Linked DNA regions of Elephas maximus indicus. The protein of the gene in region 1 interacts with the protein of each later gene in a pairwise test. Links are inferred from orthologs where the notes say so. Each region holds a gene or a part of one and is shown on either strand. Other genes may lie near its edges. The genes, in order: DMPK and HSPB2.

Region 1 (15,754 bases):
AGCATTAATCAATAGCTGGTCAGATGAAGTCCTTGAAGATTTGTGGAGACATTAGGGGTCAGTGGTGATTTGGAGGTCATCAATAGTGGGAGGAATGGTCGGAGATGCCGTGGTCACTTGGGGACTTTAGGATGTCATTGGAACACAGTGGCGGTCAGGAGGGTGCACGCTAGGAGTCTAAGGAAACATTAGAGTCACCTGGGGTCGTCTGGGAGGTCATGGGAGGGGCAGGATACGGACGAGGCCTCCTCTTGCGGGGGCCCTCCGTTGCTAGGCAAACGTTCTCCGGGCGCCGTTGCTAGGGACTTGTGCTTTCCAACTGGCCACACCCTTTTCCGCCGCGCCCCGCCCCCGCAGCCAACCACAAGGCGGTAACAAGGCGTAGCCTCGCCTACCTTTTCGCCCCGCCCACAGCCCAGAACCGTTACCCGAGCGACCACAGGAGCTGGTCCCGCCTTCCGAGCCTGTTGCCAATCGAAGAGGCGTCGCCCGGGCGACGACCCCACCTCTTCCGGCGCTGGCCCGCGGCTTCCGGCGAGGGGCCCGGCGGCGGACGGCGGTGGGGCAGCGGCGGGGCCCGGGGGGCGCCCAAGATGGCGGCGGGCGGCGCGGAGGGCGGCTCGGGCCCCGGCGCCGCCATGGGAGACTGCTCCGAGATCAAGTCGCAGTTCCGCACCCGCGAGGGCTTCTACAAACTGCTCCCCGGGGACGGCACCTCTCGCAGGTCGGGGCCGGCTTCCTCCCAGACCCCGGCGCCGGCTCAGCCGCCGCAACCCCCGCCCGGCCCTGCCTCCGCCTCCGGCCCCGGCGCCGCAGGCCCCGCGCCGTCCCCACCGCCCGCAGGCCCCGGGCCTGGGCCCGGGCCCGCGCTGCCCGCCGTGCGCCTCAGCCTAGTGCGGCTCGGAGAGCCCGACGGCGCCGGATCCGGAGAGCCGCCCGCCACGCCCGCGGGGATCGGCGCGGGGGGAGACCGTGTCTGCTTCAACTTGGGCCGCGAGCTTTATTTCTACCCCGGCTGCTGCCGCCGCGGGAGCCAACGGGTGAGCGGCCCTCATCGTGGGGCCCTGGGTACTGAGGGGATGGGGGACTCTGAGGTGACCCAGGAGGGTTCCGGAATTGTTATGGGTCCTGGAGATCTGCGTCCTAGGTGTGATGGACATCCTGGGGGATAGGATTCTTGGAGGTGATGCAGGATTCTAAAACATGACGGGAGGCGCCGGGGGTGCTGGCATCTTGGAGATGGTGGATAATCTTCAGGTCATGTTGGGGGGCTCCCGGGTTAGGCGCGGAGATTCTGGGGTGGTGAGCATTCCGGGGGTGATGGTGAATCTGAGATGATGTGGGATCCCCGCAGTTTTGGGGTGCAGGCATTCTGCAGCGATGGGGAATCCTGAGTTGGATGCAGGCTCAGAAGCGATGGAGAACCCAGAGGTCTGGAGCAGATGTGGGTGTGGGTCTTGGGACTTGGGGAGTCCAGAGGTGAGGAAATTCTGGAAGTGATTGGGGAGCCTTAGCCGTAATAGGAATCCAGAAGATGAATGGAATCCTAAAGGAAATTGGGGTTCAGGAGGTAATGAGGGTCCTGGTGGAAATGAGACTCTTTAAGCTGAGAGGAGAATTCGAGGTGATGAGACCCTGGTAGGGAAAATCCTCAGGTGTGATGCGCATCTCTGAAAATGATGTAGGTCCCAGAGGGTATGAGGCCCCAGCAGTTGAGAGGGAGGTCTCCAGAAGTGATCAGAGTCCAGAGATGATAAACCAAAATGAAGCAAACCCGTTACCATCAAGCTGATTCTGACTCATAGTGAGGCAGTAGGACATAGTAGAACTGCCCCATAGGATTTCCAAGGAGCAGCAGGTAGATTCAAACTGCTGATCTTTTGGTTAGCAGTCGAAGGTTTAAGCACTGCGCCACCAGGGCTCCCTAGAGGTGATAAAGGTTCCTCAAATTGGAGGGACAGTGAAGTTTACTGGGTTCCTGAACTGTGATTGGTTGGTAGGGGGGAGGTCCTGAGGTTTAGGGACTCCAAGGGGAAGGAGACCCTGGGATGTTGGGTTATAGAGTCCTGGTTGGCCCTGAGGTTTTTGGGGGCCTGGAATACTGTAGCGCTAGGGCCCAAGCTCCTAACAACAACAACAGGGGCCCAAGGGAGTTGCTGAGATTACAGGGCAGGACTGGAAGGAAATGGGGGCTCAGGGACAGTAGAGACTCTGGACCCTAATGCTCTGGGCAAGGGTGTCCCTGAGGTTGCAGGGGACTCAGCTTTGGGGAGGCAGTGTGGCTGCATGGGGGAGGGCTCTTCCTGTGTGGTTTTTCTCAATACTCTGATTTGGGTCCCCCTTCCTGTCTGTGGTTGTCCCTGCCCCTTCCCACTCAACCATCCACCTACCCACTTCCCTCAGGGATTTAACCCTGTTTCCTCTTCGTGGTTTTCCCCAACCTCAGCACCCTCTTCCTTCCTCTCAGTGGTTTGAGCCATTAACCCCCTTTCTCCCATCATTTAAGTCCATTGACCTCAACAAGCCAATTGACAAGCGGATCTATAAGGGCACCCAGCCCACCTGCCATGACTTCAACCAGTTCACTGCTGCCACAGAGACCATCTCCCTGCTGGTGGGGTTCTCGGCTGGCCAGGTGCAGTACCTGGATCTCATCAAGAAGGACACCAGCAAGCTATTCAATGAGGAGGTGATTGTGGGTCCCCAGGTCCGTTTTCCCATCCACCTACACACATGCACACACATACTGTTTGCCCCGGGACTGCATCTGTCTGAGAGGGCAGGACGAGGAGAGATGGGGGATGAATTGAGGTATGTGAGGTAGGGTGACAGACAGCAGCGAGTGTGATAACGGCTAACAGTAATGACAGCTGTGCCTGCTGTGCCCAGGCCCAGTGCTAACCCTGAGTTCTTATCAACTGATGGGTAAGGAATCATGATGTCCACTTTGCAGATTAGAGAACTGAGGCTAGCAAGTATTTGGGACTCGGGTGATTCCAGAACCCTTGCTCTTCAAATTCTATGCTTGGTGGGCTTTGGATTCAAGTCCCTGCTATGCCATTTAGTGGCTGTTCCTCTCAGCCTCAGTTTTCTTCCTCTGCGGAATGGTGATTCCTTTTCCTGCCTGACAGGACTGTTGTTGTAAACTTGTACACGGACTGTGCTCAGTCCTGGGCTGACTTGGCCCAAGTGCAAATGTCAGTGAATGATCTTACTGCTCGACTCTGCAGCAGGGGCTGTGCTTGGCCTGTATCTCTTTCTCTCTGGTCTAGAGGGAGGTGTTCCGGAAATATTCTCAGAACGAGTGAATGACTGAAGGGAGTGAGTGTATTAAAAATGCATTAGCTCATCCATTCAGAAAATACTTATTGAGTGTTTATTCTGTGCCAGACGTCGTTCTCTGCACTGAGGACGTCATATCACAGTGAGCAAAGCAGACAAAATTCCCTACCTCCATGGAGTTTTCAGTCTAGCTGGGGCCGCAGACACTTTTCAGATAAGTCTATTGTATGTCAGAAGGTGATAAGTGTATGTCAGAAGGTGATAAGCAGGGAAAAACCTTTGCTGTTGGGTCGATTCCAACTCATAGTGACCCTATAGGACAGAGCAGAACTGCCCCATAGGGTTTCTAAGGCTGTAAATCTTATGAAAGCAAACTGCCACATCTCTCTCCCAGGTAGTGGCTGGTGGATTCCAACCGCTGACCTTTTCAGTTGGCAGCTGAGCGCTTTAACCACTGTACAACTGGGGCTCCTTCAGGAAGTGTTTGGCAGGTTTTAAATGAGGTGGTCAGGAAAAGCCTCACTAGGAGGTGACATTGAAACAAGGACCTGAAGGAGGTGAGGAAAGTTACCTGGGAAAGTGAGTGGAGGGAGCACCTAGCACAAATGCCCAGAAGCAAGGCAACAAAAAAGCTGAGTGGCTAGGTGAGAGTTGAGGGGAAGCGGGTTGGTGAAGAGGGGCCAGGTCATGTAGGGTTGGGAAGGCCATGGAAAGGACTGGCTTTTACTCCTAGAGAGACAGGCGCCTCTGGAGCAGCCTTTCTCAAACTGGTTTTCTCTTCTGAACCCTAGAGTACAGAAATGATATACAAGACGATTTCCTCAATTCTCCCAAGGTTGAGAGGCAACTAGGAATGTTCTAGATACTGGGGAAACAATGAATTAATTACACATAATGGTGCCTGAGGGCAGTAGGCCTTTCTTTCTGGAACCCTGGTTGAAATAGGCTGCAGTGGCATGTACTAACTTACATTTCAGCAGGCTCTCTGGCGACTGTGGAGAATAGTTCACAGGCATGGAGGCAGGGAGGCCAGCTGGAGGCCGTGGCAGGAACCCAGGAGCAGGTTGATGGTGGTTGTAGTGAGGGTGTGAGAAAAGGTCAGATTCTGGGTACATTTTGAAGGTTGAGCCCACAGGATTTGTTGATTTGTTAAAGGATTGGATGCAAGTTGTGAGGGAAAGAAACAAAAATGCCTAGAAGGTTTCTGGTCTCAGCAGCAGGAAGGATGGAGTTGTCATTCATTCATTCATTCGGGAAATATTTTTGAGGCGCCTCCTGTGTGCACCATTCTATGTGCGAGGGAGAGGACAGTGAACCAGACAGACAAAGATCCTTCCTCTGTGGAGCTGACATTCTATGAGTACATTTCTTGCCTTAAACCTGACACAGTAGAGATTGCAGAAGGGGTTAGACAGCTAGCAGACAGTAGCCTGGAAGGCAGGGTGGTCTCCTTTCCAAGGATGGGACATCGAGGCTCCACCGAGCTCCCTGTGGCCACCTCATAGGCAGCCTATACTGCCATCCGTGGTGTCCATCTGTCTTCCCTCAGTTTGGGAATTTCTCTCTCAGAGGGGCCTGGGCCTGGCATGACACCAGCTATGTGAGCTGGGTCAGATCTGAGGGCCATGTTGGAGGGACCAGGAGGTCTGCCAGGGGCTTATTGCTTCCTTCCAGCTGCCACCCTGTCTCTCTTGGCAGCGGCTGATTGACAAGACCAAGGTGACCTACCTGAAGTGGCTGCCGGAGTCTGAGAGCCTCTTCCTAGCATCGCACGCCAGCGGCCACCTGTACCTGTACAACGTCAGCCACCCGTGCGCCTCAGCCCCACCCCAATATAGCCTCCTGAAGCAGGGCGAGGGCTTTGCCGTCTACGCTGCCAAGAGCAAGGCGCCTCGCAACCCACTGGCCAAGTGGGCAGTGGGTGAGGGGCCGCTCAATGAGTTTGCCTTCTCACCTGACGGCCGGCACCTGGCCTGCGTCAGCCAGGACGGCTGCCTGCGCGTCTTCCACTTCGACTCCATGCTCCTGCGTGGGCTCATGAAGAGCTACTTTGGGGGCCTGCTCTGTGTGTGCTGGAGCCCCGACGGGCGCTACGTGGTGACAGGTGGTGAAGACGACCTGGTCACTGTGTGGTCCTTCACCGAGGGCCGTGTGGTGGCCCGTGGCCACGGTCACAAGTCCTGGGTCAATGCTGTGGCCTTCGACCCCTACACCACACGAGCTGAGGAGGCATCAACAGCAGCCAGCGGTGACGGGGACCGGAGCGGCGAGGAGGAGGAGGAGGAGCCAGATTCTTCAGGCACAAGCTCGGGTGGGGGTGCCCCTCTTTCCCCACTGCCCAAGGCCAGCTCCATCACTTACCGCTTTGGCTCAGCTGGCCAGGACACACAGTTCTGCCTGTGGGACCTCACTGAAGATGTGCTTTACCCGCACCCGCCCCTGACCCGTACCCGTACCCTCCCTGGCACCCCCGGCACCACGCCACCAGCCACCAGCAGCTCACGGGGCAGCGAACCCGGCCCAGGCCTCCTGCCCCGCTCGCTGTCCCGCTCCAACAGCCTCCCGCATCCAGCGGGTGGTGGCAAGGCAGGTGGTCCCAGTGCGGCAGCAGAGCCAGGCACCCCGTTCAGCATTGGCCGTTTTGCCACACTCACGCTGCAGGAGCGGCGGGACCGGGGGGCTGAGAAGGAGCACAAGCGCTATCACAGCCTGGGCAACATCAGCCGTGGGGGTAGTGGGGGCAGTGGTGGCAGCGGGGACAAGCCCAGCGGCCCCACCACCCGCAGCCGGCTAGACCCAGCCAAGGTGCTGGGCACTGCACTGTGCCCACGTATCCATGAGGTGCCACTGCTGGAGCCGCTGGTGTGCAAGAAGATCGCCCAGGAGCGCCTGACAGTACTCCTTTTCCTGGAGGACTGCATTGTCACAGCCTGCCAGGAGGGCCTCATCTGCACCTGGGCCCGGCCAGGCAAGGCGGTGAGTCCCCCAGCAGCTCCCCAGAGCCCGGCAGGTGGAGGTGATGTGGGCTGAGGGCTTTGTCCGTGTCACAGACTGTAGCCCCATCGGATGAGGAGAAGCTGACCTCTCAGGTCTTAAAGCGATGGCTTCTCAAACCCTGCTACATCAGTCAGCAGAGAGTTGGGTAGAAGAGGCAACAGGGAGTGTTGGGAACTGCGGCCGGCTAAAAAGCCCTGTCTGAGGGCAGCCAGTTGGCATCAGGCGGAAGCATGGCCCAGCCTGGCCAGGTCTCCGCTTGTCACATGAAGCAGAAAATACTGCAGGCCAAACCAGACACATCTGTGGGCAAGCCCAAACCTGTGGGCCCAGCTGTCAGCCCAGGTCTTGGATATTTAGCCTCCAAGCCTGTGGCTGAAGGCACAGCTGGCTGTAGGATCGAGTCCAGGGATCCCGTCCAGCACTTCTGCTCATGGCGTGACCTCAGCAAGCCACCACCCTCTGACCTCTGTCCTACCACCTGGAGCAGAGAGGCTTTAAAATGGGCAGCTGGTGGATGTGCCCCCTCCCAGGGTGGGTGTGGGGTTCAGGAACCTCACAGTAGAAGAAGCCCTGGGGCCTGGCACCTTCCGAAGCCAGGAGCTGTGGTCTAAGGAGGCTCAGCTCCTGGGCATTCAGGCTTAGCTGCCCAGGCTGTCAGATCTTGGGGCCGCAGCCTTGTTCTTTGGAAGAGTGGTTTTGGAATCCTAGAGGCCTGGGTCCCTAGAACAAGAGAGCAGACTCAGGGTCTCCAAGGCAAGGGCATCGGAGTCTGGGGAGCCTGGCAAGCCCTGAAGGAGACCCCTCTATCTCCCTAGTTCACAGACGAGGAGACTGAGGCCCAGACAGGGGAAGGAAGTTGGCCCAGGTCACCCAGCAAGTCAGTGGTAGAGGTAGGACTGTCCCTTCCAGACTCTCGGGACCCCTCCCAAGTCAGAAGGGCACCCCAGCTTCCCCTTTTTCTCTGTACCTCTCCCAACCCTGCCCGCTCTGCTGAGGATCACCCGAGGACTTTGTTGTCTAAAAGTACCGACGTCGGGCCAGGGAAGGTAGCCGAGATGTGAGTGCCAAGCCTAGAGCAGTGGCCTCAGTCTGGGGGTCGGGGGTGGACTGCGGGGCAAGGCAGTGGGGGACTCCAGGCTGGCCCCTCCCCAGAGACTGGCGGAGCACAGGTGGTCTCTAACCCCTCCTGTCTCCCCCTCGTCTCCCCCAGGGCATCTCCTCCCAGCCCGGCAACTCCCCCAGTGGCACAGTGGTGTGAGCCGTGGACTGCGGGCGGGGTCCCCACCCTGTGCCCCCAGTCTCCTCGCCGTAACCTCCCTGCTGACCTCACCGATCAACGTATTAACAAGACTAACCATGACGGATGGACTGCTTTGGTCCCCGCCCTGCACAAAATCAGTGGGCAAACGGTCCCCCAGTCTGGCCCAGACATTGGGGGATACAGTAGCCCATGTGGCCTCAGCCTTGCCCCCACCCACTGCCAAGTATAATGACCCCTTCCTCTGAGACATCAGTGTTGTTACCCTCATCCCTGTCCCCAGCATGTGACTGGTCACTCCTAGGGAGAAGTCCCAGCCCTCTAGAGCCCCAGCTCTCTGTGCTGTGCCCCTCTGGCCTGGTGGGCAGGGGAGGGGGTGGCTGCCCCTTCTCTGGCCCCGCACCCTCCCCTTGCCTTGTCTGTCCTTTCCTAAGAGTGTTAAATTATGGATGCCCCTTGGGGCCCTCCCTGTCCCCCAGGACCTCTTATTTATACTAAAGTTCCCGTTTTCAAAGCCCCAGGCCCAGCGTGTGTCTGTTCCCTTCCGTGGAGGTATGGAGGGAGTGTGTCTGCTTCTGCTGCCCTTCTGGCATCAATCCACTAACCAAGGATGAGCCCTGGTCCTGCCCCATCTCCTCCTGCCCCTTTGTAATAGCAGGAAAATCTGAAGCCTGGAGGAGGAGTTACTTGTTCTCTATGCCTCCAGGCCAGCAGCTGGCCTGTTCTGAGCAGGGCCTCTCCCTCCATTCTCTCAAGGGCAGAGGGCAGCCAGGACCCTTGATGAGAGTTTTCAAAGTTGTTTTAAGTGCCCAAACTCCAATTGAACTATTACAGCTAAAAAGGGGCCTGCCCAGCTGGGGGTTCCCGTAGGCAGCTCCTGAAGTGCCTGGCAGGGGGCCCCTGGGCTAAGGGTCTCTCAGCTGACCGGAGGACCAGTCTTTGGCCCTTAGTGTCTCATCTGGGTCTTCTGGGGCTGAGCTTCCCTCTCCAGGAGAACTGCCTACCCCTGGAAAGAAAAAAAAATAAAATCCCTTCTGGCTGGCTGTCTGCAGCCTGAGGGGCGGTGTCTTCCCGCTCTACCCGCCACCCCCCGAAATGTCTCTGTTTCTAATCCCAGCCTGGGCAGGAATGTGGCTGCCCGGCCAGGCTCCAAAGAGCTATTTTGGGGTCTCCTTTGCCTGGGGGGCCTGCCTCCACTACTGGGCTCCCCCAGGCTTTGGCCCATGGGTCACCCCTTGTCCTGGCTCCTGAGGGCCTCCCTTCCCGGTTCTCCCCTCACCATTCCTTCCCCACCTCCTGCCAAAAAAGAAAAAGTTAGTGTAAAGCAAAGGGCCGGAGGGCTAAATTTAACTGTCCCAAAGTCGGAATCCATGGCTGAGTCACCAGAGAAGCTGCCCTGGCCTCCGGGCCCCCCTTCCCAGGCCTTGGCCCCTTTCTCCTCCCCTTCACCCCAGGGCTGGGGGGTGCCTGGATCACTCAGCCTCAGTTGGCCCCCTCTAGGGAATGGAGGGCTCATCTTTAGCAGCTGTCATACCCATAGTTGTCCTCTATGTGCCACCTTTTTATTGGGGGGGACGAGAGTTTTAGATTCTACACACATTCCCCCATTTAACACAAAAGGTTCAGAGGGGCCCTTGAAGGAGGGAGTGGGGGGGGGCTGGCTTGTGAGGGGTTAATGCTGGGAGGCAGGAGGGGGGCTGGACCAAGGGGTGGAGAGAAGAGGAGGAGGCCTCAGCAGCAGAGAGAAGTGGCCAGAGAGGCCCAGGGGACAGTTAGGGACAGGCAGACATGCGGCCGGGGCCCCAGGGCATGGTCAGGGGCTGCCAGGCCCCGTGACGGGAGGACCCCAAACCCCCGGCCCGGGGAGGGGGCCATGGTGCGTGCTGGCCGACATGTCAGCCGAGGTACGGCTGAGGCAGCTCCAGCAACTGGTGCTGGACCCCAGCTTCCTGGGGCTGGAGCCCCTGCTCGACCTTCTCCTGGGCGTCCACCAGGAGCTGGGCGCCTCCGACCTGGCCCAGGACAAGTACGTGGTCGACTTCTTGCAGTGGGGTGAGTGCCAGCTGCGTGGATCGCTGGGGGGTGGCAGAGGCTGGAGATGGGTCTGGGGGCAGGGGCCTGGTTTTGGGGGGTCAGATGCAGGGTGGGCATGGGGGAGATTGTTCCATTCAGAGACCCAGACCTTGAACCCAGGTCCTGGAGTGATATGCCAGCAGTGGCCAGGGCAGCTATGACTCAGAACAGGCTTGGGAGCTGGGCAGGCTGGGCTGAGCACAGCCTCCTGTAGTCCCCTGCATCCCCCTCCCCAAATCTAGGCCTAGGGCCATGCTGGCAGTCCCATCTCCTGGGATCTTCCCCCAAAATGGGCCCTCTGGCCTTCCCACCCTGGTTCTCCAGAGCACAGGGCAGGCGCTGAGGGACAGTATGGGGCAGCTGCCAGGGGCGCGGCCAGTGGGCAGGTGTTCGGCGCCAGCCTCTCCAGTTGCCCCAACAGGTGCCCAGGCACGGGAGGGTGTGGTGACTCAGGCTGGCCCTGGGGGAGAACCAGCTCTGCAGACAGGCGCCACCCAGCACCCCCTCGGTCCCCCAGGGTTGAGGAGGGCCAAGTTGGGGCTCTTCTGGGTGTGCCCACCTTATAGATTCCATGATCCCAACCCCTCCCCAGTGCCTTGGTCCCTACTAGCCTACTAGTTGATTACTTGGTCTGCTAATCCTCCTAGTTCAGGGCCTCCAACCTTCCTGCTGTCTCCAGTGTTCCTCTTACAAGGTCCTTCCAGGAGGATGAACAGGCCTGGGGATCAGGAGGGGAGATGCTGCAACCTCAGCTTCCTGCCTTGTGTGCCCCCCTCCCACCCAGCCCAGGACTCTGGTTTGTGTCTCTCTGACACCTGCCACTCTGTGTCTGCCACTTGTCTGTCCCTCAGTGGCTTGCACTTGGTCCTTGGCCTCTGTGTGTCACTGTATATTTGCTGCCTCCCCACCCATTCCTGCTCCCTCCTTGCCTGTGTCCAGCCTTCTATTCCAGGCTGGGCTCCTCTCCATCATCCTCCTCCCACTTCACAGGTGGGAAGGTGGAGGCCAGAGGGCCAGGCCACTTAGCCTCTGAAAACACTTCTCCCACTTCCCCCAGCCCTTAGGAACTCTCCCAGCCTCCCTTTTGCAGAGGATGGCAGCCCTGCTGGCAGGGTAAACTGAGGCCTAATGGGGGCGGGGGTCTGGCTCTCCAGGAAGGAGCACTCCTTTTGTGGCCCGAGCCTGCATCTAGTGGCCCCTCCTCCTTCAGGCGGGCGGGGGAGGGGGCCTGGGTTCCCACTGCCTTAAAAGGGCTCAATGTCTTGGCTCTCTCCTCCCTCCCCCGTCCCTCGGCACTGGCGGGCTCTTCCCTGCTGGCCCACTCTGCCCCAGCCCCGTAGGGCCCCTCTCTGCAGCCTTATTTCTTACTGGCAGAGGGCACCCAGTCTCCCCCATTCTTGCTTGTACTGGTCCCTTTCTCCGTCCTGCCTCAGGTTCCCTGCTTCTTCCACCTTCTCAGAACCCAGGCCTCCCTCTCCCACTGTCCCTCCACCCCAGGCCAGAGCCCCTCTCTCACTGCTGTGTTTAACATCCCCAGCTGTGTGGGACCTGGGGCCAGTGACTTCACCTTTCTGAGCCTTGGTTTTCCCACGTGTAAATGAAGGGTCATCACAGAGCCCTCCTGGCATCTGGGAGGAGTAAGCTTGTCCACCGCTGGCTCTGTCTCCCTCTGCCTTGCCTTCTGCGGCCTCATCCCCAAGCCCAGTGTTCTGGTGTGGTACAAGAGCCACTGCCTCTGCACCTAGATACTGGATGAAAACGCATGTTCCAGACCATAACCCAAGACTTACTAAATCAGAATCCTGGGGGTGGGGCCCAGGAGCTGGCATTTTAACCGTCACCTTGGGCGGGGGGGTGGGGGGGTGGACGTTCCCAAGCCCAGGGAAGTCTTAAGCACTGTGGCCTTATTTCTGCTCCTGCTGTTCCTCAGGGCCTCCCCTTCTGCAGTGTTTGTTACCCGACTTTGCACCCTGTTCCCCTTTGGCTCAATGCCCTGTCCCCAAAAGGACTTCCCAGGCATCTCATCTCGATGGGAAGGGAGTTTTGGGTCCTCAAAATCTCTCACAGTGGGTATGTGGGAGGCAGTCCCTAAGGTGAAACGGAGAAGCAGTGAGAGAGGGAGGCATAGAGGCAGAGACGGGGGAGAGCGAGAGGCATAGAGAGGAGACTGAGGGGCAAGGAGGAAGTCATCGAGGGGCAGAGATGGGGAGACCGAGGGACAGGGAGAGGAGGGCACCGAGGGTGTCCAGTGTCTGCCCCAGTGACACGCAGTTCTCGGCCTCCCATCCTCAGCGGAGCCCATCGCGGCGAGGCTTAAGGAAGTCCGACTGCAGAGGGATGACTTCGAGATTTTGAAGGTGATCGGACGCGGGGCGTTCAGCGAGGTGAGAGCGGAGCGGCGGCAGGCAGGGCTAGCCGGGGCAAAAGACGAGAGTGGACTTGCGGTGGGCGGGGCCTTAGAAATTGATGAATGGCTGAGTGCTAGAACCTGACCGGGCGGGGTATGGGGGCGGGACCTGATGGGGTGGGCGTGGCGGCTGGGGGCGGGGCCCCAGCGGGCGGGGATGGAGTGGAGTACCGCCTGGGCAAGCCTCGCCCTCGGGTTCCACTGCCGCGTCCCACCTCCGCCTGCGCCACCCTGCTTTGACCTTTAGGTAGCGGTGGTGAAGATGAAGCAGACGGGCCAGGTGTACGCCATGAAGATCATGAATAAGTGGGACATGTTGAAGAGAGGCGAGGTGAGGGCCGGGGTTGGGTGTGGGGGTGTGGAGGACCTTACCTCCCACCCCGATTCAGCTCTTCCGTGTGCCGCTTAGGTGTCATGTTTTCGTGAAGAGAGGGATGTGCTGGTGAACGGAGACCGGCGCTGGATCACGCAGCTTCACTTCGCCTTCCAGGACGAGAACTACCTGGTGAGCGCGGGCCACGGTGACTGGAAAGAGGGACCGCAGGCCCGGGGTGCCAGTTTCGGGGCGGGAGGGGGAGAGGGAGGAGCTCTGGGAATGCCTGGGAATGCCTGTGGTGGTGTGTGGTAGGAATGGGTCTCAGGTAAACGAGAGGCCTTCCTTACCTGGGGTGGGAGACGTCTCTTACCGCTCGTTTCTCCAGGGTGATTCTGGGGACCTCTGTGCAATAATGTCTTTTCTGGGGAAGTCTTACCTGGAGTGGGATTAGCACTCTGGGGTCTCTATGTGGGGTCACTGGACAAGGGGCACTTTGGGCCTCGGGAGATATCTGGAGTCTTTTTTTTTTCCCCCGGAATGTCTCTGGGGGAGTCAATCTCAGGTGACATCTGGGAAGAACATTTTATTTTGGGGGCGGGGTGTGCTCTCAGATTTGGCCTGGGAGATCTCTTGGGCTGTCTCGGGGCTGGAGTTGCCGGTTTTCTGTTCGCGGATGGAGCGTCTCTGGGAGCCTTTGTCCCGGGTGATCAGCGAGCGGCCTAGAGGGGCTACTGACCCCCCATAACATGCCCCCTCCCAGTACCTGGTTATGGAGTACTACGTGGGCGGGGACCTGCTAACACTGCTGAGCAAGTTTGGGGAGCGGATCCCGGTCGAGATGGCGCGCTTTTACCTGGCTGAGATTGTTATGGCCATAGACTCGGTGCACCGGCTGGGCTACGTGCACAGGTGGGCGAGGCTGGGGCTGAGGGGCGGGGCCTAGAGAGGGTCCACAGAGATGAGGGTACACGGAGATGGGGCTCACGGGGGGGCGGGGCCTTAAGGGCCGGCCCCAAAAGAGATAGCAAAGGTTGTATTCTTGGGAGGGTCTTGGGTCCCTGAGGGGTGGGACTTCACCTCTGGGGCCCACTGGGGGCGGGGCCTGAGGAGTAGTGTCCAGAGTTGTGGAATCCCCACAGGGGTGGGACCTGATGAGGTGGGCCTGGGGGCGGGGCCTGGAGGGGTGGGAACTGGAGAGGACTGCCCCGAAGAGATGCTGCCTAGAGGGGCGGGGTCTGGCGGGTTGGCGGGAAGGCGGTGCACTTATTCTCCCTTCCCCTCCCGTTCCCTCTCTTCTTCTGCCTTCGACGCAGAGACATCAAGCCGGACAACATTCTGCTGGACCGCTGCGGCCACATCCGCTTGGCCGACTTCGGCTCCTGCCTGAAGATGCAGGAGGACGGAACGGTGAGCGGGTTCGGCCGCCGAGGGGCGACTGAGACCACAATGAGGAGTGGGCTCTGGCGTGGGGCGGTGCCGGGTTAGGGGAGGGACTTATATTACGTGGGTGGGGCTTGTGATCCATGGGCGGGGCTAGATCATGGGGCAGAGCCAGAGCAGAGGAGGGGCTAGATCTGGACGTAGTATGGAACTCTGAGATGGAAGAAGGTGACCCAGCAGAAGTAACTGGGTGTGGGGCAGGGTTGGACCAGACAAAAGGAAAAACTAAGCCTTTGGGGCGTGGTTAGGAGGAGGAGGAGGAGCAGAGTTCAAGGATGGGGGAGGAGCCAGAGCCCGGAGGGGCAGGGCTCGATCCCAGCTCTGGTCCTGTGGTGCAGGTGCAGTCGCTGGTGGCCGTGGGCACCCCGGACTATCTGTCCCCCGAGATCCTGCAGGCCGTGGGCGGTGGGCCTGGAACTGGTAGCTACGGACCGGAGTGTGACTGGTGGGCGTTGGGCGTGTTCGCATATGAAATGTTCTACGGGCAGACGCCCTTCTACGCTGACTCCACGGCTGAGACATATTGCAAGATTGTCCACTACAAGGTGAGCGCCAGCCGGAGAAGCCCTCATGCCCCTCTGCACGTGCTCCCTGGCTAACATCTCCCCTCACCACCTCCGGATAGGAGCACCTGTCCCTGCCACTGACAGACTCAGGGATCCCCGAGGAGGCTCGAGATCTCATCCAGAGGCTGTTGTGTCCCCGGGAGGCACGGCTGGGCCAGGATGGAGCAGGCGACTTCCGGGAGCATCCTTTCTTTTTTGGTCTTGACTGGGATGGACTCCGGGACAGCGTGCCCCCCTTTACACCAGACTTTGAGGGCGCTACGGACACGTGCAACTTCGACGTGGTGGAGGATGGGCTCACTACCATGGTGAGCGGGGGCGGGGTAGGTACCTGCAACCCCTGCTCGCGACAAAGGGGACCCCCATCTCTCCTCCATAAGGTTGGGGTAATGACAGTGTCCACCTCCAGGCGCCCTGAGAGCATTAACTCATCAGAGCATCTGCTCTGTCAGTGCTGGGGATCCAGTGGGGACCTTGACCCACAATCAAGTGGCATACACAGCTGCATTCCCAGACAGTGACTCCTGGAGAGATCAAGGCTAGGACCAGGCAGTCCATAAGGGGTCCTGACCCAGAATGAAGGTCAGGGAGGGCTTCCTGGAGGGGGTTATCTGAGCTGAGACCTGGAAGATGATGGGAGAGAGGAAGGAGAGGGCCGTAACAGAATCCTCCTTCCTTTAGCTGTCTATCTCACACAATGTTGACCAAGCTATCCCAGAGTGCTTGCTCAACTGTGGGTGCTCTTGTGCTGGGCAATGCCTGGTCCCTGCCCTCATTCCCTCAGGTCTAGAGAAGTATATACTTATTCTGTGTCAGGTGCCCTGAAGGAAAGCAACAGGATACAAGAAATAATGGGAGGGGCTGCTTTAGATAGGTCCCAAGTTGGGGTGGATTTTTTGAGGGGGGACATTTCAGCCCACATTGGACTGGGTGGGGGCCAGCCCTTCCAACCATTGGTCACTTCTGTGCTTGTTTTGTGCAGGAGACGCTGTCAGACATTCGGGAGGGTTTGCCGCTGGGGATCCACCTGCCTTTCGTGGGCTACTCCTACGCCTGCATGGCCCTCAGGTAAGAGCTGGCACTGCGCTGTCTCATGAGAAAGAGTGGGACCGGGAGTCCAGAGTTTCCTCCTGGCTCCTGGGCACAAGGAAACCGTTGCTGATTCCAACTCATAGTGACCCCATAGGACAGAGTAGGACTGTCCCATGGGGTTTACAAGGCTGTAAATCTTTATGGAAACAGAGGGCCACATCCTTCTCCTGCAGAGCCCCTGGTGGGTTCAAACCGCCGACTTTTCCATTAGCAGATGAGGGCTTAACCACTTTGTCACCAGGGCTCCTTTTGGCGCACGGTAGAATTGCAGGATCTGTTTCGGAATCTTACTGTCTTGGGACCAAGACTCTTAGGAGCCCAGA
Region 2 (15,127 bases), on another chromosome or scaffold:
TCTATTGTGATCCCTCTCAGAGCACAATCTAATTATACTAAACTCAGTCTGGTGGAGGCTGTGGTAGTTGTGGTCCATTAATCTTTTGGACTAATCTCTCCCTTGTGTCTTTGGTTTTCTTCATTCTCCCTTGCTCCAGACAGGGGGAGACCAGTGGAGTATGCTAAATGGCTGCTTACAAGCTTTTAAGACCCCAGACGCTACTCACCAAAGTAGGATGTAGAACATTTTCTTTATAAACTATGCTATGCCAGTTGAGCTAGATGGTCACCAAGACCGTGGTCCCCAGGCCTCAGCCCAGTATTTCAGTCCCTCAGGGAGTTTGGATGTGCCTATGGAAACTCTGATGGCGTAGTGGTTAAGAGCTACGGCTGCTAACCAAAAGATCAGCAGTTCAAATCCATCAGGCGCTCCTTGGAAACTCTATGGGGCAGTTCTACTCTGTCTTATAGGGTCAATACGAGTCAGAATTGACTTGATGGCAATGGGTTTTTTAATGGAGCTTCCATGACCTTGCCTTGTACAAGTCGTGCCAACTTCCCCAGTATTGTATACTATTTTACTCTTCACCAAAATTACCACTTATCTATTGTCTATTTAGTGTTTTTCTATCCCCAGTCCTCTCCTCCCTCGTTGTAACCATCAAAGATTGTTTCTTTTTGTGTGTAAACTTTTTCATGAGTTTTTATAGTAGTGGTCTCATATAATAATTGTCCTTTTGTGACTGACTTATTTCACTCAGCATGTTGTGAGATGCTTCGCAGATTCATCATTGTTCTTTACAGTTGCATAGTACTTCATTGTGTGTATGACCATAGTTTGTTTATTCATTCCTCTGTTGATGGGCACCTAAATTGTTTCCATCTTTTTGCTATCGTGAACAATGCTGTAGTGAATATGGGTGTGCATATATGTCTCTTCAACAATGGCTCTTATTTCTCTAGGATATACTCCTAGGAGTGGGATTGCTGGATCATATGGTATTTCTATTTCTAGCTTTCTAAGGAAGCACCATATCATTTTCCAAAATGGTTGTACCATTTTACGTTCCCATCAGCAATGCATGAGAGTTCCAGTCTCCCCACAGCCTCTCCAACATTTGTTATTTTCTGTTTTTTTGATTCATGCCAGTAATGTCAGGGTGAGTCTGAAGATTTTTTTTAAAACATAAATATCATTATCTAAAAGTCAAGTGTGATTTAAGACCAAGTTATTAAAATTATGTCTGCTTGAGATCACCCCTTATAATTCACTAAATTGATTATAGTTAATGCAACCTTAAAATTATATCAGAAATCATTATTTTGATACACAGTTCCTAGAGTGTTCCTTAGTTTTTTACACTATTTAAGTCCTACCAGTAACAGAAAACTCATGTCCAAATAAACAAAAATAAGACATGAGACTTCTTGATATAGGTTCAAGAATTGGTTAATTCAGTAATTCAATGATCCGTCAAGGACCGAGAGTCATACCATATTCCTGCTCCCTTCTTCAGCATATCACATTTTGGGTGTCACGTTCTCATGCCCCAACATCCGGAGACATTCATATACAAAAAGATCGCTTTTTGTATATGAATCTTTTTTAAAAGCTTAGAAGCCTTGGGACTCGGGCAGACATGACTCTAGCAGCATGCTTGTCCATTTTCCTTCTTTTGTCTGTTCTGTAATATTTCCTTGAACTCCGGCATGCTTGTTGGCTTCCCGCTTTTGCCTTTTTTAATATATTTTGAATAAAACTTTCTTTATGCTTAAAAACAAACAAACAGAGAAGCCTTTTCTAGGAGCTTCTCCAGCAGACTTCCTTCATGGCTTATTGATGCAAATTGGGTGATAACCTTTCAAAATCAGTCACTAGTAGAGGAAACGGAATTTCCATGATTTATTTGGACTAATCAAGATTGTCCACCAACAGTCAGAACTTTTTTCACCTTCCCTGAGCACATGGCCTAGGAAGAATGTAATAAATACCTAAACCATTCTGAGGTACTGTTGACAAATTGAAGGGGGTAAGTAGCTGTTGGGTAGGCAGCCAGGAGTGTCTACAACAGAGCCACAAAAATCATTAAGTTTAGAAGAATCTGACTTCTGGCTAGATCATAGCATTTCAGACTATTAGGAAATTGTTATTAACGACATTTTGAACCTGTATAGATTTACAATTTATATTGCCTTAGTTCCATGCCCTTGCATCATGAAAAACTTAGACAACTATTTTGTATAGAATATTTTAAAAGCTGTAGGCTTTGTGAGGGCAAGAATCGCACTTTACTTCATGGTCAGGTAGCAACTCTTGAGAAGTAAGAAATTCTGAAGCTGCTAGAGGAAAAATTAGAGTAATCTCTAAACGCTTATGCCAGATAACCTGTTGTTGTTGTTGTGTGCTGTTGATTGGATTCCGACTCACAGCAACCCTATAGGACAGAGTAGAACTGCCCCCATAGGGTTTCCAAGAGGCGGCTGGTAGATTCCAACTGCTGACCTTTTGGTTAGCAGCCTGAGCTCTTAACCACTTTGCTACCAGGGCTCCCAGAACTGCCCCTAGCAGGCCTGTTTTTCATTAATTGGGTTAGAAGTTTTGTCTAGACCCACAAAAGTGAAATGGAGGTATTTTTGTAGGATAATATCTTTGTTTAAACTAAATAATAGAATCACTTATTGATCAGTTAGTAATTCTGAAACTTAACTTTCTCCTTCTGGGTCATCAGACTGGATGTCTCCCAGTCTTAGTTCAATAGGCGTTTGCTGGGTAATTCAGAGACCGCATCTGAGAGGCTTGTTCAGTGATACTCACCCAAGTCCTGTTTATTGCCCTTGTGAATCAGCTGAAGGCAATGCTTATCGGTAGGAAAAGGTCAAATAACACTGCAGGCACATCTACTCCCCAGTGACGTAATTAATATTAGCCACGTACTAAGATCTTTTGTATGTTGTTTTCCAGAGTTTACTCCAGTTGTTGAAACTGAGGGCTAAAATCAGAGAGGAATAAGAGGAACTGACATTCTTAGAACTCTGGCAGGGGCTTTACTTACTCCTTCTCCTTAATTTACCCCTTCGAACAAAAAAAAAAAACCTAAGCCCATTACTATTGAGTCAATTCTGACTTATGGTGACCCTACAGGACAGAGTAGAATTGCCCCATAGAGTTTCCAAGGCTGTAATCTTGACGGAAGCTGACTGTCACCTCTTTCTCCTGTGGAGTGGCTGGTGGGTTCAAACTTCCAGACTTTCAGTTAGCAGCTGTGTGCTTAACCACTGCGCCACCAGGGCTCCTTCCCTTTAGAACAACTCTGTACAAATCACTGCCCCATGTTATAAATAGAAAACATGAAAATCAGAAAGGTTAAGGTACTTGCCTATATTTTACACCATTAGTAAGTGGTAGAGCCAGCCTTTGTGACTCTAAAATCCCCCCCCAAAAATTTTTTTTTCAGGAGCCCCCAAAATCATAATGTGACGATTAAATACACATCTGTTGGTATTTGTACATGTACTTTTTTTAATACATGGTGAATATTCAAACACAAGACAGTTATCTGTTGCTGAATCATATTTTATTAGCTTAATAACGGGCCTGCCCTTAGCATTAATAAGTTTCAACACTAGTCACAAGGCTTTCATTCAGTGGTGGGGAAGCTTCTTGTTTTAAAAAACGTAATTAGAGAAAGGGCATCTATTTCTTGGGAGCTGCAGTGACAGCAGGCTTCTCTTCACGGGTGATGGGAATGGTGCGCTCAGGGCCAGGGGCCTGTTTCCTTGGTCCATTCACAGTAAGGACCCCATCAGATGACAGGGATGAAGTAATGGCAAGAGGGTCCACATCAGCTGGGATCCGGTATTTCCTATGGAACTCCCGGGAGATGAAACCATGTTCATCCTAATCCAAGGGAACGAGGAAAGAAGCAGAGAGATAAGAGCAGGAAATAATACTTCTCGCCAAAACCTCAGACAGCCCCGCTCCCCTTAAAAAAAAACCTGTTGCCATTGAGTTGATTCCGACTTATAGCAACCCTGTAGGAAATCCCATAGGGTTTCCAAGGAGTAGCTGGTGGATTTGAACTGCTGACATTTTGGTTAGCAGCCAGGCTCTTAACCACTACACTACCAGAGCTCCTTACTCCCTTTAGGTAGAACCAAATGCCATGGCAGCATGATGAGAAAAAGCTAAATAGCTGTTCATTTCAGTTTGGTGCTAAGACAAAGTCACTTAGTGGTCACTGCTACCAATAAGAGTCTGAGAAGTCTGAAACACCCCCAGAACTTCATAGTTCCCTAGACCCTGAGGCATGGATATGTTTAGGTATATTTCCTAAAGATTTAGATCAATGTTGGCTGGGCCTATAGGATATGAATCTCATTTCAGCAGGCCAGTCCCTGAGGAAGCCCAGAAATTGTCCTTACTCCAGGAATGTTCCAGACCAAAAAGACTGCTGCTAAAGAACAGTTACTCCATCCAGGGAGACTGTGACCCAAACTTAAATCGAGTGAGCAAAGCTGAATCAGCTTGAGGGTGTCAAACGGTTCTGTTTGATGTACAAAGTTCTAAGTTCTCACTAATTGGTGAGAAGCATGTTCATTTAAAAATTCTCCCAAGGAGTAACAAGAAGCTGTTCCATTCTTCAGAATCCCCAAAGAGTACTTAGCCCTAACCCTTATACTTGCTAAATCTCAAGCATTTATTCAGGTAGACTTTCAGTGAACTGATTACCAGTGGGTTCTAGGGTATTAGGAGCTAAGTACAGTTCTGAAAAGTAGACAAACCAAGTAGTTCAGCAATAAGATGGGTTTAAGCAGTAGATTCCTGAACATCTAAAGGAGTCACAAACTCAAATGCCTTTAGGGTGGATGCAGTCAATGTCATTATGTGAAGCAACCAGGTGTCTGACAAGCGCTATGCCTAAATCAGGGGTTCCCAGCCTAGACTCAACACTGGATTTACCTAGTCAGCTTTAAAAACTACTTACACGTGGGTCCCACCCCTAAATATTCTGATTTAATTAGACTGGAGTGCACCTGAGCATTGGGATTTTTTAAAACTCCCCTGATTCTAATTGGCTAAGGCGGAGAACCACGGGCTTCAATGAAGAGTGAACATTCCATACATCCCCTCTAAGGCAATCATATCAAAACAAACAACACAGGCCACTTCTCTGCCCCCCAAAAACAAAAAACCTGAAACAAAACAGGTTTGTCACTCATTTAGTCTCCTAGCTACCGATGTGTGACCCTGATGTAGGCCCTTACGGCTTGGGACTGGGATGTTGCCAGCCTCAGAGGCTGATGGCACTGCCTGGCATAGAGCAGGCACTGAATGAATGGGTGGAACTAAACACAAGCTACATACCTGGCGTTCTTCATGTTTGCCATGCACCTCAATCACATCTCCCAGCACCTTGACCTTGAGATCCTCTGGAGAGAAATGCTTCACATCCAGGTTGACAGAGAACCTGTCCTTCTCCAGGCGCATCTAGAAATAGCAGAATGGGGCACAGGAAGAAGGGATAGAAGAAAAGATGCCAGGAATGTTAATTATCTTGGTGTTAATCTCATTCTGTAGAGTTGTTTTCTGTCCAGGTAGTTTATCTTCTTCTTTTTTAGCCAAAAATCTCTTTTTGAATAAGTATGGCTCTCTGGGGTAGCCACCACAGTGGTACCCAAAGCATAACACTTGGTTATCAAGCCCAAACTTTATTTACAGGGACAGGGATGAAAGACAGGCCACCCAGGGGGACTTAACAAATCACAAGGACGGGCCTGGCATGGCTTCTGCTGCTGCTTAACCCCAATGCCTGCTCTTGTCATTTGTCTGTAAGACAAAGGCCCCTTTCTTCTTGCTCGGGTCTCTGCCAAGTTTCCCACCCACTCAATCTGGAATATTCTGCTGGTCCTGTTTGTCCTTCCAACGCCCTTGCTCACTCAGCTACTGTTTACTCATACTTGAATATTTTTAAACCAGAGTGTTATCTGTGACAGCTTCTGCCAACCATATCTGTTCACCCCGTACTCCTCCCACTCTTTTAGGACAAGTGAGGGGGTCCCAAGACCAGACCTACATTCCTTCCTCATAAGGCTTAGATACAGGCAGTGCCCAGTTACAACTATAAGAAATGCGGAAAATCACAGAAGAGGGAATAGAAAGGAAGAAAATAATGGTTGTTGTCTCCGGTTCCACCCAACAGGGATGAAAGCTCAAGCTGAGGGAGGACTGTCTCCTGGCTCTGAAACTTGAGATGATAAAATCTGTCAGGAGTATGATACATCATAAGAGGTGAGCAAAGAAGTCTGGAGGCAGCTTTTCTACTGCAGATCTTTATGAACCGAATTAGAGAAGGGGCATCCTGCTTGGAAGTTAGCAGACAGAGGATGATCTTCATAGTGCACGGAGAAACGTAATAAATAGGATGCAGAGAAGCTTCAAATAGAAACAGGTGACTGGGAGAGGTGGGTGCTAGGGACCTTATCTTTCTTCATGTCTGGACACACATCTAACTGAAACACTTATGAGACTTGAGCATAATCAGGTTTAGTCAGGGAAAGAAAGGAAAAAAGAAAGAGAAGAAAAGTTCCAGGAAGAGCTCTCCCGTTCTGGCAGAGAGGAGACTCACCTCTGAGAGCCCAGTGTCAAACCAGCTGGGTGCCCGCAGAAAAGAGGGTGGTCGAAGATAGAAGGGACTCAGGGAAGTAGCAGTTGGGAAGAGATCAGACTCCAACAGGTGCTCTCCAAAGAACTGGTCAAAGAGGCGGCTAGGGGAGTGGAAAGGAAAGAAGGGGCGGCGGATCCAGGGATGGTGGATGGCGATGTCCATGATGGCTAGGTGAGTGTGGGGGGTCAGCTGGCTGGTCAGCTCCTTCAGCCGCAGCTACAGCCAGCCCCTTATATATGCAGTCTTGTGAAGCTTCTGGAATGGTGATGTCAGGGGTTTTATTATCCCAGCTCACCGCCCGTTCATGGAGACTTGTGATCGGGGATTTGGCAGTGTGACACATACCCAGTACTCACTGAGCTAAGAAAAGAGAAACACAAACACGTCTGAGCTGGCCAGTAACTTGTCCTGGTCTTGTTTCACTGGCTTTCTCATCTACATCCCATGGCAGCCCCCCACCCCCCCACTTCTGTTCTTGGGGACTGGGACAGAGTCAGGAATCCCAGGCAGGCGGGTGTTGTGCCCCTCCCCCTCCTCTCCGGTCTTGCATGCCAGGGGAATCGGGCCAGCAACTATCTTGGGCCTGTGCAGGGACTGGAATCTTCGGAGGCTGTGCCCCAGGAACATTAACTCTTGTGGGTCCCTGAAGCAGTGATCATGTCAGTGCCAGGCGTCTGCGTGGGTTTCCCTGGGTTGACCTGGGTTCGGGAGAGGACCCTGACTAATCTGGGCAGGAAAACCCTCTCCCCACCCCACACCACCCCCATTAAGCCCACAGAGAGGGTAGAAAAGTTTCTTTCATCTTTCACTCTGCCAGGCTCAACAGAACTTTACATCCAGGAGTGCTTTATGAAGTACGACACACTGTGCCTGCGACTGAGGAGGAGAAAGGGTGGTGTGGAAAATGTGCAAACTGTTCGTGAGGGTCTCAGCCGTGCCTCTCCTTAGCTCCGGCGCCAGCCTCCCTTCCCCTAGCCCTCTCCCGAGCCAGGACCCCCAGCTGTCATCTCAAGCACCCTGCGACAGCTGAAGGGGGGGAGGGGTCGGGGGTCCGGACGGCGCTGGCTTCACACTCTTCGCCCGCACTCAGGCCCCCGCTCCCGCCCTCCCTCCAGAGGCTCGGCACTATTTTGGGTGGTGTAGACCCCGCCCCCACCTCCGACCGAGCTGCTCTTCGGGCAGCAGGAGGGGTCGCGCTGCGCCTGTTGGGGCTGCAGCTCGGAACAGGGCCGCCTACGCGTCTACAGCCATGTCTGGCCGCTCGGTGCCGCATGCCCACCCCGCCACCACCGAGTACGAATTTGCCAACCCGAGTCGCCTGGGTGAACAGCGCTTCGGAGAAGGTATGGCACACACGCCACCCCCAGCCTCCCACCCCCACCTCCTGAAATTCTGGGCTGACCTCCCAACATTACTGGCCTCCACCCCACTTCAGGCTTAACTGAACTCCTGGGGCGAGCCATCTCCCACCCCAGGCTGCTTTCCCCCACCTCCAAGTAAGAGGGCTCTTTCTCTTTCTTACTGCCCTCAGGACAGACTAGGTGCCACGATACTCAGATCCCTGCCCCTTGCCCCACTTGGTGTGCCTGCTTGTTCCCCATCTATCCACCCTGCCCCAGTTTGGTTTACCCTCCCTCACCCCATCTCATTTCCTTTCTCAGTTCTGTCTCCCCAGCTGCCTCCTTCTCTTCCCAGTCACCTTGTCCCTTTCTCTTCCCCTCCCTGCTTCTCCTGAATCCCTCCTGTGGTCCCAATCCGTCCTCATCTCTTGATCAATTCTCAAAACATCCCTGTTCCCACCTCACCTTCCTCATCCTGCTTCTTTCCTTCTCTTTCTCTCTCTCTGCCCCTCAGGCCTCCTGCCAGAAGAGATCCTGACCCCTACCCTCTACCATGGCTACTATGTCCGGCCGCGGGCTGCCCAAGCTGGGGAGGGCAGCAGGGCAGGGGCCTCAGAGCTTAGGCTCAGTGAGGGCAAGTTCCAGGCATTTCTGGACGTAAGCCATTTTACCCCAGATGAGGTGACCGTGAGGACTGTGGACAACTTGCTGGAGGTGTCTGCCCGGCACCCCCAGCGCCTGGACCGCCATGGCTTCGTGTCCCGGGAGTTCTGCCGCACCTATGTCCTGCCTGCTGATGTCGACCCCTGGCGGGTCCGTGCTGCTCTCTCCCATGATGGCATCCTTAACTTGGAGGCCCCTCGGGGTGGGCGACATTTGGACACAGAGGTCAATGAGGTCTACATCTCCTTGCTCCCGGCACCTCCTGATCCAGATGAAGAGGAGGAGGTGGCCGGAGTTGAGCCCTGACTGCCACAGACCCAGCACCCAGCAAATCCCTTTTTACTTCCCAAGGCGTGATGCTAGCAGCTGCCCACCATCCCAGAGGTAGCAGCATCCTTGGGGGAAGGGAAAAATGCATGGTCCACAATATATTGTTTGGTCCCTTGGGACGTGTCATAGCCTTTGGCTTAGTTCTGGGTAGAGTTGAATAAACCCAAATCTCAGGGCTTTGTTTGTGCTGCTCCCTATTCTGTGGCCTAGAGGAAGGGATGAGCAGGGAGGGAGGAGGTCATAGCTGGCTAGACATAAAGCACCTCAGTTAGATGTGCCATCGTCACACTTGGATGCTGAGATCACGCCCGGAAGCTGGCATTGGCTCCAGATCAAATTCCTAGCCATAATTTTCTCACAATGCAACAAAAGAGAGAGTGATCCTGGGAGGGGAAAGGGATATGCCATCCAAACAGTCCAGAGGACACTGTCTGAGCTGGTGATTAGAGACACAAAAACAAGAGTCTCCAGACTGTCTGGCCCTTTTTGGGTAGGGGTTGGGAAAACTGGCTGGAGAGAGTTGCCTAAAACAAAATACTTCATTTTCTCATGCTGAGGTCTGTTCACAGGAAATGGTCTCTGATTCCGAGAGACTAAATATGCATAGACAGGGACACAGACACAGGAATCCCTACCATTATCACCACACCACAAAGATTTCTCATGCTCCGCACAGAGGAGGCCCAAGAAGGAAAGCATTTGTCTCTAATCTTGGAACATCCAAAGAAAGACAGGAACTATCACATCACCTCAGCCAGTCAACCCAAGACCCAATGCAGGGGATCTAGGGCTATAGGGTCGCTATGAGTCAGAATCAACTCAATGGCAACAGGACTATTAGTGTAATAAGACAGAAAAAAAAAAAAATACAGTGGTGGTGACTGCCAGGGAAGCTTGCCTTGGACGTCTAGTACTAAGTATAGTCCTAAGACTAGGGGCATGGTGTATTTAGGAAAGCCTAAGGTCATGACCCCTCAGTCATGCTTTGCAGTCAAGAGAGCATGCATGCGTAAGATTTAGGGGGTGTGCAGAAGACCTCCCTGCCCCAAAACACATCTATGGTAAAAAAATACCTCAAATTCTTCCTTTCAAGTGGTGGTTCTTAACCTTTTTGGGTTAGAGACCCCTTTGAAAATCTGATAAAAGCCATAAACCCTCTTCCCAGAAAATGTACATGCCCCCAAATTTGGCTTTCTCATCCCTCTTAGCGATTCATGGACCACTGGGGTAAGGACCCTCACTTGAGGAATTCAATTTTTGGTTAAAGGTTGCCTTCTATTAAAAACGTAAGCATGCCTCAGAAAAATAACTATATTTTTGCTTTTTCATTCATTCAACAAATATTTATCAAGCCCCAGATAATACATCCTAAAGGTTATACACTGTAAATATAAAAAATATGTATGTTATTCTCTACTATCAGGAATCTTACTGTCTAGTTGAAAAAAGAATTTTTAAAAAGGGATCCATCCTACTCAGACTTCAACCAGAACAGCTTTGATCTGTTTTGTAATTGGGGTTTTGACACGAGCTTTATAGAAAAGATTGCTTAGCTAGAAAAAATATGAAAACCTCTGATTTAGTCCAATTCGTCACCATATTCTTCTCACATTATGAGCCAACTGTTGCTGGGACATTTTGAGTGACAGAGAACTTAAAACTTCATCTAGTAACACACTCCATTTTTTTTTTTTTTTTTTTTTTTTGATGTATCTGTTACAAGTTCTTCCTTCTATTGAACCAAAATCCTCATTTCAGTAACTTCTGCCTGTTGATTCTGGTTATGTCCAGAAAATAAATGCGGTTCTTCTTTCACTTGAAAATCCTTCAGGTATTTAAAAATAACCATCCTCTCCTCCTAAGGCTTACGTTTTCCCAGCTAAACATAACTAGTTCTTTAACTGTATCATATAGCAATTCCCATACTCTTGAACACATTGCCTTTTCGTAATGTAATTTGAAATTCAGCATCTAGACCTGAAAGTATTATTTCCAGTCATGGAATGGTATAGAGTTCAGTGGAAGAAAAAAATCCCTGTGTTTAACACTCTAGATTTCTATTAATGCTGCTTAAAGTACATAGATTTCCTGGCTACACAATACACTGTTAGTACCTTTAGAGTTTTTGGTCATCTACGATATTTTAGGGGCTTTCCTTTAGATTACAAAGGATATGGCTGGAAAGGGATCAGATTGTTTATGGTTTTGAGTGCCAGGCTAAGAAGTTTGAACTTTACTCTGTAGGTAACAGGAAATCAGTAATGGCTTTGTGGGGAGGGAGTGGGGAGTGTAATAGGACAAAAAGAATACAGTTAATGGCAGAATACTGAGTGGATTACAGGGAGAAGCCGGCCATGAGATAATAGTCTAGTGCCATGATCTAGGCACAAAACTAAAAAAAAGTAACATAAAATGCTTTATCATCTGAGAGTTAGCAGAGACACTAGAATAATAAGAATTATAACGACGTTGTTGTTAGCTGCCATGGAGCCGGCACGACTCATGGGAATCCCATGCACAGTGGAATGAAACAGTGCCAGGTAGTGGACTAGAGCTTTATATACATTATTTTATTTAATCGTCACCCCAATCCTATAAGGTTGTCACTCTTATTATTCCTGTTTTTCGTAAAGAAAGAAGATGGGGAGGAGTTAAAGAGTTCAGGGTACTCTGGAGTGCAGGCTGGGTGGTGGTTCCTGAATATCCGTAAACCTGTTGGCGGGCCAATTCGATTCTCAGCAAACCCACAGGACAGAGTAGAACTGCCCCATAAGGTTTCTGAGGCTGTAAATCTTTGCGGAAGAGGACTGCCACATCTTTCTCCTGCGGGGGGGAGGGGGGCTGTGAACCTTGACCTTTCAGTTAGCGGCCGAGTGCTTAACCACTGTGCCACTAGGGCTCCTCCCAAATATCTATAAGGGGCACATAAACACCTAGGCATCTGGGAAAGAGAGTAAAGATGGGGGCGAGAGCTCTGAAGACAAACCTTACACGTTTCATAAATTCTCCTAGAGCCCATATCTTCTACAGAAGAATTTGCTCCACTGCGTCCTAGCTGCTGGTGAGTGTGAAATGAGTCTAACTTTGGCTTATTGGGTTGAGGGGTAAGTGGAGGGTCTTTGGTTCTATACCAGGGATGGGGGCGTGATTAAGTAGTGCTGAGGCCAATACAATCATAGAATCATACGCTTTTAGACCAAAAAGGAGATTAGAAAAAGAGTTCAGTTCTCCGTTTTATAGTCCTAGAAACCTAGGACCTAAAAGGTTAAGTGATTTATCCCTTAATGCTGATAGCCAGGGGGAATATACAAGGAATCCATTTCCCTAAATTCAAGGATCCTAGAGACTCCAGTATTCAAACCCAGATTCTGGACAAGAATGTTAAGGAACCGGCACCCGTAGTTACCTGCCAAGTGAAACTCATTTAACCTGAGTGGCGCTGAGGAAGATAAGGTGGAACCCTCTTACTCCACTGTAGAAGAGGCATTTCAAGAACAATGTGATGTAGTGGGAAAGCATTTCCGAAGGAAACTCAGAGCCCTTTTCTATCTCAGGTTTCTTTTTATTGAACCTTGAAGCTCAAAGTTGATGGCTTCATCAAAGGAGTCCCAAATCCCAAAGGTGAGATAGCTCTCACCTGGAGCCTGGTGTGTGCTGATCTGACCTTGGCTGGGAATAGAGTCACCTGGGAATCCTTCCAGCAGGTGGCTTCCAAAGTCCAACCTGCTAGGTTGAAATCTGACACTGACAAAAACTCCCCGCCAGCTGCCAATGAAAACTAAACTGGGAAGCAGGAAATGCATAAGCCTCTTAATGTAGAAAAACAGCTGGGCTCCCTCGGAGACCGCGCACCATGGGAAACCGACTCTGCTGCGGGAGAAGCTGGTGAGTACGGGGAGAGAGCGGAGGAGGGTAAAAGTCTCATGTTGTTGGATGTGGAGGTCCTAAGCTGAGAAGAATACCTTCCCCTTCATTACAAGCGTGAGTGAGAGAGAGCCTGGAGATAATTCTCTGCCGACCTCCCACTGCCACCTCCCTCTGCTGGCACTTCCTGATTCTAGCACCAGAGCAGCACCCCTTTCTGTGATTCCTCCTTTCAGGAGATCGCAAAACACACAGCCAAGCCAGCTGTCTAGAATGGCCAGAGCAGGGCTAGAATGGTGAATAAGACATTGTTTCTCTTTGTCATCCTCTTTCTCCCCTTTTCTTTTTCTCCCTTTTCTCCTTCCCCAGAGATGATAATAGCTATAGCATTTGAGAATTTACTCTGTGCCAGGCACTTTACAAATAATCTCGTTTAATTTTCACAACTCCGTGAGGAAGTGGTTTTCCCCTTCCCCCCATTTTACAGTTGAGGAAGCTGAGACTCTGAGAAGTTAAGTAACTTGCTCAGGGCCACATGACTAGTAAGTAAGTGAACCAAGATTCCAACCCAGGCTTGTCTTACTTAAGAGCCCCAACTTTTAACCACTACATAATATTGCCTTCCAGAGCAAGCAAATCAGTTTGGAGAAATGTTTATTTAAAAGGGCAGAAGTGGGAAGAAGGAGATTATCCAAAGAATATCTGAATGTATCTTTCACACTTAATTGCTGGGTGACCTTAGGCAAGTCCCTTAACTTCTCCGTCCCTCATCTGTAAAATATAGCTAATATAACCCATCTTGTTTATATCATAAACTTGTTTTGAAGAACGAAGAATATGGTGTATGTGAAAATCTCATAATAAATTATTTGTGGTAGTCTTGTTCTTTCCCAGAGTTGTTATCACTTTAGACCCTTGGGCCTGGTTTTATCCTGTCCACTGCCTTCTTGGCTATACCATTCCATGCCTGGGTCAGATCTCGAGGATGTTTTATTTATAAATAAGGTATCATTATATTTAGATACAGGTGAGGCACACTGGAAAGTACATAAGATTTGCAGTCAGTACATGGGATTTATGTTCATTTCCTACTATTCAGTCATGTATCCATTTATTAAATAAATATTTACTGAATACCTACTGTGTGCCAGGTGCAGTGTTAGATCCAGAAGACATAGTAATAAAAAGGAAATTTGGTCCTTGTCTTTGAGTAAGGCATCAAAGTCCTAGGGCCTTAGTTGGCCCATGTAAAATGGAACAATAATATGTGTTTCCCTCAGTGTTGCCAGGATTGAACAAAAACATATAAAGCTCTTAGAGCACTCTTTAAACTATGAGATGTCCTCCAGACATAGGACCTCTGTTGTTTTTGTTGTTGTTAGGTGCTGTCCATTCGGTTCCAACTCATAGCAACTCTATGCATAACAGAAGGAGATGTAACAGTTCCTTTCGCTCCTGCTCCCTTTTCCGAGTCTTCACCTACTTCATTATTGGCTACCTCTTTCCCTGAGTTGTAATAGTCCTGGTAGTTGTACTAGTCAGCTTTTACTGAGGCTCATTATATTCCAGGTGCTTGTATTTATTATTTTATGTAATCCTTACAATAATCCCATGAGGTTTAGGTTCTATTATTTGTTCATTTTATTAACGAGAAATCAGAGGCTTAGAGTGGTTAAAAACTTGCTAAAGGTCACACAGCCAGGAAACATAAACGTTCTGACGCTGGAACCCGTACTGAAACCACTAGACTCTAGCCAAAATCTTTTTTTTTCCTCATAGAATATTAATAAGATTGTGTAAAAATTGCTCTTATCTATTTCTCATTATCTCAGTACACTTCCGGACACTTAAAGATACTGTGACAATTTCAGAGTTTACAAAAATATTTTGGATTTTAATTTTTTTTCTGATTACAAAAGTCATAACACACATTTACTGAGGAAAATTCGGAAAATACCAAAAAGTGGAAAATAAGCAAACTATAAATATAAGCACTCAGAGGTGATAGTCAGGAACATTTTAGCATACGTATTTCCATGTAATCCTTTTTGAATGCATGTGTGCACAATTTTTATTCCAAAACACATCTTACATCTTTTTTTTCTAACTTAATAAGAAATAAATTTATCCATGATGACAGAGGTTCTTCCAACATCTTTTTTAAAATGGCTGCATAGTGTTCTACTGATTGGATATACTATTTATTTGTTCAATTCCCAAATGTTGGACCTTTGACATATTTTCAATTTTTGTGTTTTTCAATAGTACTACAACGAGCATACAG

Evidence for each region.
Region 2: the proteins of DMPK (region 1) and HSPB2 interact in a two-hybrid assay, tested with the Homo sapiens proteins (2 studies listed by BioGRID). The link is inferred for Elephas maximus indicus from reciprocal best matches to the Homo sapiens genes DMPK and HSPB2.

The regions. Positions count from the first base shown.
Region 1 is NC_064829.1:103,856,677-103,872,430, forward strand, and holds the start of DMPK (myotonin-protein kinase), read left to right. Parts: upstream 1-9,257; 5' UTR 9,258-9,429; coding exon 9,430-9,589; intron 9,590-11,902; coding exon 11,903-11,994; intron 11,995-12,264; coding exon 12,265-12,348; intron 12,349-12,426; coding exon 12,427-12,522; intron 12,523-13,093; coding exon 13,094-13,242; intron 13,243-13,646; coding exon 13,647-13,740; intron 13,741-14,111; coding exon 14,112-14,318; intron 14,319-14,398; coding exon 14,399-14,662; intron 14,663-15,321; coding exon 15,322-15,407; intron 15,408-15,754. Other genes in the region: DMWD (dystrophia myotonica WD repeat-containing protein), read left to right, coding at 594-1,040, 2,507-2,689, 4,981-6,258, 7,095-7,336, 7,490-7,769. UniProt on the Homo sapiens protein: Non-receptor serine/threonine protein kinase which is necessary for the maintenance of skeletal muscle structure and function.
Region 2 is NC_064825.1:6,980,082-6,995,208, reverse strand, and holds HSPB2 (heat shock protein beta-2), read left to right. Parts: upstream 1-7,251; 5' UTR 7,252-7,895; coding exon 7,896-7,989; intron 7,990-8,500; coding exon 8,501-8,955; 3' UTR 8,956-9,005; coding exon of another isoform or gene 9,006-9,033; 3' UTR 9,034-9,155; downstream 9,156-15,127. Other genes in the region: CRYAB (alpha-crystallin B chain), read right to left, coding at 3,676-3,879, 5,347-5,469, 6,608-6,808; C7H11orf52 (uncharacterized protein C11orf52 homolog), read left to right, coding at 9,006-9,033, 11,992-12,040. UniProt on the Homo sapiens protein: May regulate the kinase DMPK.